Linked DNA regions of Mus musculus. The protein of the gene in region 1 purifies or fractionates together with the protein of each later gene. This does not show direct contact. Links are inferred from orthologs where the notes say so. Each region holds a gene or a part of one and is shown on either strand. Other genes may lie near its edges.

Evidence for each region. Proteins that work in one complex are often made in the same cells at the same time.
Region 2: the proteins of Mthfd2 (region 1) and Hras purify together in Homo sapiens (co-immunoprecipitation; 4 studies listed by BioGRID and IntAct, with this or other methods). This does not show direct contact. The link is inferred for Mus musculus from reciprocal best matches to the Homo sapiens genes MTHFD2 and HRAS.

Annotation. Positions count from the first base shown.
Region 1 is NC_000072.6:83,307,605-83,311,104, forward strand, and holds part of Mthfd2 (bifunctional methylenetetrahydrofolate dehydrogenase/cyclohydrolase, mitochondrial precursor), read right to left. Parts: intron 2,916-3,500; coding exon 2,808-2,915; intron 1,951-2,807; coding exon 1,858-1,950; intron 1,455-1,857; coding exon 1,329-1,454; intron 1-1,328. UniProt on the Homo sapiens protein: Although its dehydrogenase activity is NAD-specific, it can also utilize NADP at a reduced efficiency.
Region 2 is NC_000073.6:141,191,205-141,195,475, forward strand, and holds the start of Hras (GTPase HRas), read right to left. Parts: upstream 2,801-4,271; 5' UTR 2,636-2,800; intron 2,605-2,635; exon of another isoform or gene 2,299-2,604; intron 1,778-2,298; 5' UTR 1,737-1,777; coding exon 1,626-1,736; intron 1,417-1,625; coding exon 1,238-1,416; intron 1,137-1,237; exon of another isoform or gene 1,087-1,136; coding exon 927-1,086; intron 833-926; coding exon of another isoform or gene 751-832; intron 264-750; coding exon 144-263; 3' UTR 1-143. UniProt on the Homo sapiens protein: Involved in the activation of Ras protein signal transduction. Ras proteins bind GDP/GTP and possess intrinsic GTPase activity.

The DNA of each region.
Region 1 (3,500 bases):
ACCCAGAAAACAAAAAACAAAAACAACCTACCAACATACATATACAACACACATGCATGACATACACCCACAACATATACATTAGCACACACATACACATCACACATGCACACTCATAAGTAACATATACACAGACACAGATATTAGGACACACATGACACACAGACACCACATACACACATAATGCATACAAATCGCAGGCTGGCGAGATGGCTCAGCAGGTAAGAGCACTTATTGCTCTTCTGAAGGTCCTGAGTTCAAATCCCAGCAACCACATGGTGGCTCACAACCATCTGTACAACAACAGTGTACTCATATACATAAAATAAATAAATAATCTTAAAAAAAAACATACACAACATACAATACACAGACACCACACACACATAACACATATACAACACACAGACAGCACATATACATATAATACACACACAAAACAGACACATAACAAATAGACACAGACCCACATACCACATACAACACAGACACGTAACACAAATATACACACCCACACAACACACATACAATTTCTTTAAAAAAAAAAAAATCCCATGTATAGCCATGAGGCGTGGTGGTGCCTCTTGGAAGAAGGTAGAGAACAATCCTGGAAGGCCCTCAGTGTCAATCTCAGGCCTCCACACACATGCGCCCACACACACATGCCCCCAAACATGCCCCCACAGACATATGTACCCACACACATGCAAACTCAAGCACATACTATTACACACACACCACACATTTTTTAAAAAAGTGTTTTAACAATGTTACCAAAATTATTCTTATTACTTAAAAGATATAAAAAAAGGGAGGCAGAGGAATATGGATTTCTGTGAGTTCAAGGCCAGCCTGGTCGACACAGCCAAAGTTACCTACTGAGACCTTGTCTCAGAGAGAGAGAGAGAGACAGAGAGAGAGAGAGACAGAGAGAGAGAGACAGAGACAGAGACAGAGAGAGGAAATGAAAGGAAGGAAAGAAGAAAAGAAAGGGCTGGAGAGATGGCTCAGCAGTTAAGAGCACTGACTGTTCTTCCAGAGGTCCTGAGTTCAAATCCCAGCAACCACATGGTGGCTCACAACCTTCTGTAATGGGATCTGACGCCCTCTTCTGGTGTGTCTCAAGACAGCGACAGTGTACTCACATACATGAAGTAAATAAATACATTAAAAAGAAAGAAAGGAAGGAAGGAAGGAAGGAAGGAAGGAAGGAAGAAAGGAAGAAAGAAAGAAAGAAAGAAAGAAAGAAAGAAAGAAAGAGAGAGAGAAAGAAAAGCAATCTGTCCTAATGTCCATGAAAGGTATTATTTACAAATTACACTAAATACCTTCAAAATCCACATCTCCAACCAATTTGGGCTTTGCAGTGACAGGATCTTGAACTCTGTTTATTCCCACATCGATGACCGCTGCTCCTTCCTTGATCATGTCAGCTGTGATCAGATTTGGAATGCCTAGTGACAGAGAGCAATGATCAGCGGGACACTGAAGGCAACATACTTCATCTCTGGATTTTCATTTATTGTAGATTTATTGATTTTACGTATAGAAATGTTTTGCCTGAATATATATGCACCTTGTGCCTGCAGGGGGCATTATAGTCATAGGACATTAAAGACATGGTACCTGGAGGAGCACCAGTAACTAAGGAACCATTTAAACGCACATGGAAATACTCTGCGGGTAGGAGTACCCTCCTCCTCCAGTCTGCAATGGGGCGACAGGTACAAGAATCCCAACTGCAACTCCAGCTCAGAGACTCACTGGGAGGGGATGGCAGCTGGGCGGGTGAGAGTTCAGACAACGCATATGTGTACATCTACATATAAGTCTAGAGATGCACTGTAGAGCTCTTACCAGCGGCAGATATTACAATGTCTGCAAGGATCGTGTGCTTCTTCAGCTGCTCTTTGGGAGTGTATCGATGAGATATTGTGACTGTGGCATCACCTGAGAGGCAAAAACAGATGCCTTGAGTCCCAAATCCAGGCTGGGATGGAGGTAGGTTTCAGCTGCTCACAGCACTGCAGAAACCCAACACCTTTGGAAAATTATGGACTTGCATTGTCTCTTAGAGCCAATACTCAGGACAGAGAAAAGGGCCGGGTGTGTGTGTGTGTGTGTGTGTGTGTGTGTGTGTGGTATGTGTGTGTGAACATGCTTATCAAACATTCCTGCCAGCCTGAGTCTGACCCCGGAACTCACACATAGTAATAACTGAAATGAAAATTTAAACACAATTACCACTTGGTGTAGTGTCTGGCGCTGCTCTCAGCTGGACCTCCTTGGGGTCACTTATAATCACATTTAATCTATTTCCTATGTCATGGACTTTAAAGAGTTTTACCTTTTCTAAGAAAACATCACTAGAATTACTCAGGTGAGTTTTCTCAATAATGCCAAAAGGTACCTGGAAATACAGCTTTCCTTTGGTCCCAGAAACTCATTATTACTGTAATTCCGTGCAATTCTTGACTTAGCTTTCCCTTAGATGAATTAACAGACCATGACATGACTCGCCGGTCTGGTCAGTTAACTCCTCTGCAGGAGCCACTGTTTCTTTTCCTCCCAAATGACACAGAGTAGGACACCAACTCTGAGTAAGAAAGCTCGTTGGGACTGTCTAAGCCATATAAGCCATAACTGACAATTTCTAATTGCCTACAAGCAAGCTTTATTCAAAACTCGGATCTATCAGAGACTAGTTCCAGGATCCTTGGTGGCATTGAGTGCAGGTTATTTCTGAGTGTTCACAGGGGTCACAGGATGGCTTTTGAGAGTTATCACAGGAAAGGGAACTTCCTCACCCCCGGGCCGTTCGTGAGCTCCATCTGTGTGCAGCAACATTGCAATCGGCATTCCAACGTTTTTTGACCTGCCAGCCACTACCACATTCTTCCCTAAGGTTGGAATGCCTGCAAAGATAAATAACAATAAATACACACACACACACACTCCAAATGACACAGCACAGATTCAACTTTGAATAAGTACAATCAAAGCCACATCTGAAAATGTCTTGTTGCCTACCACCACGCTTTACACAGAACTTTAATTTGTTCATAACACGAATCATTCAGATATATAGATTTGCATTAAAAGATCTGCTCTGTCTTAGAATGTGTATCAGAGGAAGGCAGATGACCTGGGTCACAAATCCAATCGTTAAACTATCAGCCAGTTATGGCTGGGACTGCCTCAGCAATGGGGCGACAGGCGTTCTGGAAACTGCAAAATGTCCCATGGATCCTTGCTGTCACCGTTGTTAAACCTACCATTTCCTTCTCCAAGGCCTGTAGAATGGAGCAGAGCTGTCCTATGCAACAGCTAGGTGAGCCCCGCTGGGTGGGATCCCACACTTTGCGGTTTTGGGGGTTTCTGCCAGTTCTAAGTATAGGTTGACTATCCCTTACCTGAAGTACGTGAGACCAGGAACGTCCCCATACTGAGACGGTTGAGATTTGGGAATATCTGCATAGCTTCTATTTGGTTAACATTTC
Region 2 (4,271 bases), on another chromosome or scaffold:
ACGGGCACAAAGGACATGACTGACTGCAGGCGGGGGGGATTGGCAGAATTGGGGGAGCAAGGACATCAGAGTGGATATGAAGTTCATCTGGCTAGCTGAGGTCACTGCCCCAGACGTCTCGCTGGTCCCTGCCTCACCTGGTGTCAGGACAGCACACATTTGCAGCTCATGCAGCCAGGACCACTCTCATCGGGTGGGTTCAGTTTCCGCAATTTATGCTGCCGAATCTCACGGACTAGTGTATAGAAGGCATCCTCCACGCCCTGGGGACAGAGGGACTAGATCAGAGAGGACTCTGGGGAGAAAAGGGGTGCTGTCTGGGTAAGAAACTCCCTGCCTAGATCAGGTCACACCCCAACGCTGGAGGCTCCCTTCCTCAGCTGCAAAACCAACACAAATAGGGAGCTGGGCCCTGGCCATCCAAAAGGCACAGGCCACTCTCCTGAAATAGGGTTCACTCCTGAGTATCACTCAAAGTCAGAGCCACTTAACTCAGGACTCTCCCAGACCCCCAGTACGTCTCAAGTTGAACAGCCTAACAACACTGAAGGGCTTAAAACTAGCCAGTATCCACAGGACACTGGGGACAAGAAGAACTAAGGCCCCTGGGTCGCCGCTCCGGCCTGGCTCAGGGCAGCTCTCTCCAGGGACCCCATCCTGCCCTAGAGCTATGTGAACTCAGAACTGCAGGGCATAAGCCCAGACCCTGGCCCTTGCCTCCCTCACAGCCCTGCGGTCTGGGAGACTTACAGCTTGAGGGCCGCTGGGTCACATGGGTCCCGGGGGAGGGGGGATCCCAGAGGGTCCCGGAGCTGGAGCCAGAGCGGCTGCCCTGTGTTGAGGGAGAGCGGCAATGAGCTCTGCTCCCTGGCTGGGGTGGGGTGCGGTAAATCCTTGACTAGCTGTGGAGAGGGAAACAGGCTCACCTGCCGGGTCTTGGCTGATGTTTCAATGTAGGGGATGCCATAGCTGCGAGCAAGGTCCTGGGCCTGCCGAGACTCAACAGTGCGAGCAGCCAGGTCACACTTGTTGCCCACCAGCACCATTGGCACATCATCTGAATCTTTCACCCGCTTGATCTGCTCCCTGGAGGGGGATGGGGTGGATATGAGCCAGCTAGCAGGCTGCAGGCATGACTGTGTCCAGGACATTCAAAAAAAGACATAAAGCCTCAGTGTGCACACGGAACCTTCCTCACGTGTGCCACGGGCTCACGGGCTAGCCATAGGTGGCTCACCTGTACTGATGGATGTCCTCGAAGGACTTGGTGTTGTTGATGGCAAATACACAGAGGAAGCCCTCCCCTGTGCGCATGTACTGGTCCCGCATGGCACTATACTCTTCTTGACCTGCTGTGTCTAAGATGTCCAGTAGACATGTCTCCCCATCAATGACCACCTGTTTCCGGTAGGAGTCCTGCAAAACAACACGGCTTAGTGGGGGTGGGGGGTGGGGGTGGGGTCTCACCTCTCCTCAGACCAGAGAATCCACAGAACCAGCCTACACCCTTGCACCTCTCATACCCTGATGGATCATACCCCATAACACCTACAAGACCTGGGCTGTTTGGTCATTTACCCATGACCACTGCCACAGCCCACCTCTGGCAGGTAGGCAGAGCTCACCTCTATAGTGGGATCATACTCGTCCACAAAGTGGTTCTGGATCAGCTGGATGGTCAGGGCACTCTTTCCCACGCCTCCAGCGCCCACCACCACAAGCTTGTATTCTGTCATAGCTTCTACAGCGGCTGCCAATCCAGGAGCTCCTGCCCCACCTGCCAATGAGAAGCACACTTAGCCAAGGCCCTTGCCACTTGAGACGGCTAATAGATGCCTGACCCAAGGGCCCTCTCCAGCATTGAGCAGGCAGGCCTGCCAGTGGCCCAGTTGATCACCTGTGGCACCTTCAGCTTGAAAAGGGAGGACCCCACCCCCACCCCCCAACCTCCTCAAACAGCACTTAATGGCTGTGTGAGGAAGCAGGGAGAGGCCCCCAAGGCAGGGCTGACAGCTGAGAGCTTCTCCCAACCACGCACCCAAATTAGAAGTCGCTAGGTAGGCAGAAACCCTCAACTGGAGGCGCCTGAGGGCTGAGGCCACCCCCCAAAAAACAGGTCCTGCCACGGCGGCCTCGGCGTGCCCAGGCAGGCCAATGCCAGCCTACAACCGGCTCTGGCCCGCCGGCATGTGGGTGCAACCTACAACTATTTACTGAGCGCCTACTGCATGCCAGGCGCGGTCCCGGCAGCGGGGGGAGGGTGGCTGGAGAAGGACCCTGCCCTCCACTAAGACAAACCTTCCACAAGGGGCCAGGGAGCTTTCACAGAGGGGGGGAAAAACGGCTGAGGGTGTGGGAAGCAGGTGACTACAGGAACGCGAGGGATGGCTGGGAGCAGAAGGCCCTGGTTGGGGCCCAACGCGGGTGTCCTTGTGGCCCCGAGGCCCGAGCGTGATGGCCGCGGGGCGCAGAGTCTCCGGAGGCCCGGGCGGCGCCTCGCTGGGAGGACGGCCACAGGCAGAGCGAGTCCGGCCGCAGAGGCGGGCAGCCGGACGCTAGGCACGCTGCCGGGCCGAGAGGAGCAAGGAAGCACCGATCACCTGCGCCCCGCGCCCCACCCCGTGCCCGCACTCACCGCTTGCTGGCGCGACTGCCCCCGGGGCCGGGGCCGGGGCCGGGGCAGGGCGGGGGCGCGGACGGGCGCCGGCTGGGCCCGCGCATGAGCTCCGTCCGCGGCGGGTGCGGCTCGGGCTGCGGGCGCCGGGAGCGGACGGCGGGGACTTGGCCGGGCCCGCGCTCGCCCCGCCCCGCTCCGCCCCACGCCCGTCCGTCAACTCGAGGCGGCCCGTGATTGGTCGAACTCCTCCGCACCGCGACCTGTTGTGGTTGGCTGAGCAACCCATCCGTCAGAAGCCGAAGCTGGGCGGGGCTTCCTGGAGCCGCGGGGAAGGCAGTGCCGGAACTTGGGTCCTGCACTCAACAGTGATGTCTAGTGCCTAGGTGCAGAAGAGACAGACCGAGACCGTGCTTACGAGCCCGGGATTTCTCCGGAGAGAAACTGGTGCACGCTCGGGTTGCGTTGAGGACCTACTACAGAGCCTCCACCCTGCAGCCTCACCAAAGGCCCAAAGGCCCACGAGTGGAAAGGTCATCCCGACCGGGTATTGGTGTCGGGGACAGTCAGCACCGCGGACGCGGAATAACAGAGGAAGACAGAGTTCGCCGGAACCCCTAGCTGCCTGTTCTCGTAGGTCGAGGTGGAGCAAAGGCTCCATCCTGGGGCAGCGTCGGCCCATCACACCGCGCTCTTCGTGTTTTGGAGAAGACCCCCCTACCGCTCTCAAACTCGAGGTCCCAACACTGCAGAAGCTCATACTGCGTCCATTTGAAGAACGACCCCGAAAGTCAGAAAAGTTGGTATTGGGGCGAAATGAAGTGTTCCACCCACTCAAGCAAGTAGGGTACATCTGTGTCAGACGCAAATGACATGTTTTCAACACTTTTTGAAATTTCAAAGAAACGAATAAGCACGTCCTCAGAAAAACTCAGGCTTTTACTCAGGTCGTGCAGGCCTGGGGTTGCACGCTCACCCCGGTCGCCGCCCGGGGTGCAAGCTCGGCTTGTTCTATTCATCTAGCAGGCAGATAACCGAGAGCTGGCCAGAAGCCTCTCACGGACGGCTCTCTGAACCACCGTGAGTGCCTTCACTGCGTTCAGCCGTCCGGCTTGTCTCTTACTCTAGGGAGCATTTCCACCGGATCTGCCGCGTGTCCCGGCAACCGTTGCTAGGGGGCGGGGCTCATCTTACCGAAGCCCCGGATGCCCGCGGCTCACGAATATTTGGGTATTCAAATGAGCCCCGCCCCCGTTGCCATGGCGCCAGGCCTGCAACCCCATCGCGGTGGTAAAAATAATAATTAAAAAAAAAAGCCCTCACCTGAGAGAGCGACCGCCGCGGTGGAGGGGCCTAGTGCTGCGCCCCAAGTCTTGGGCACTCTGGCCCACCCCTCAGGTGAGAGCCTAGCACCTCCTCTCCATGTCCTTTGTGCTAGGGGGATCCTGGGCGACCCACGTCTGTGGGACAAGACATACAGGACAGAGTAAGCAATAAGTCATGAAGTGCAGTGGAAGGGGATCACTCTAACTAGAGAAATGTATCTGGGAACGGCAGGAAGTACAGGAGTTAGGGGTCGGCCAAACCTGCATGGAGGCCACGGAGGAGGACTAAGAAGAAAGGATATACTTAATGTTCTGAACAGAGTTCTTACCTT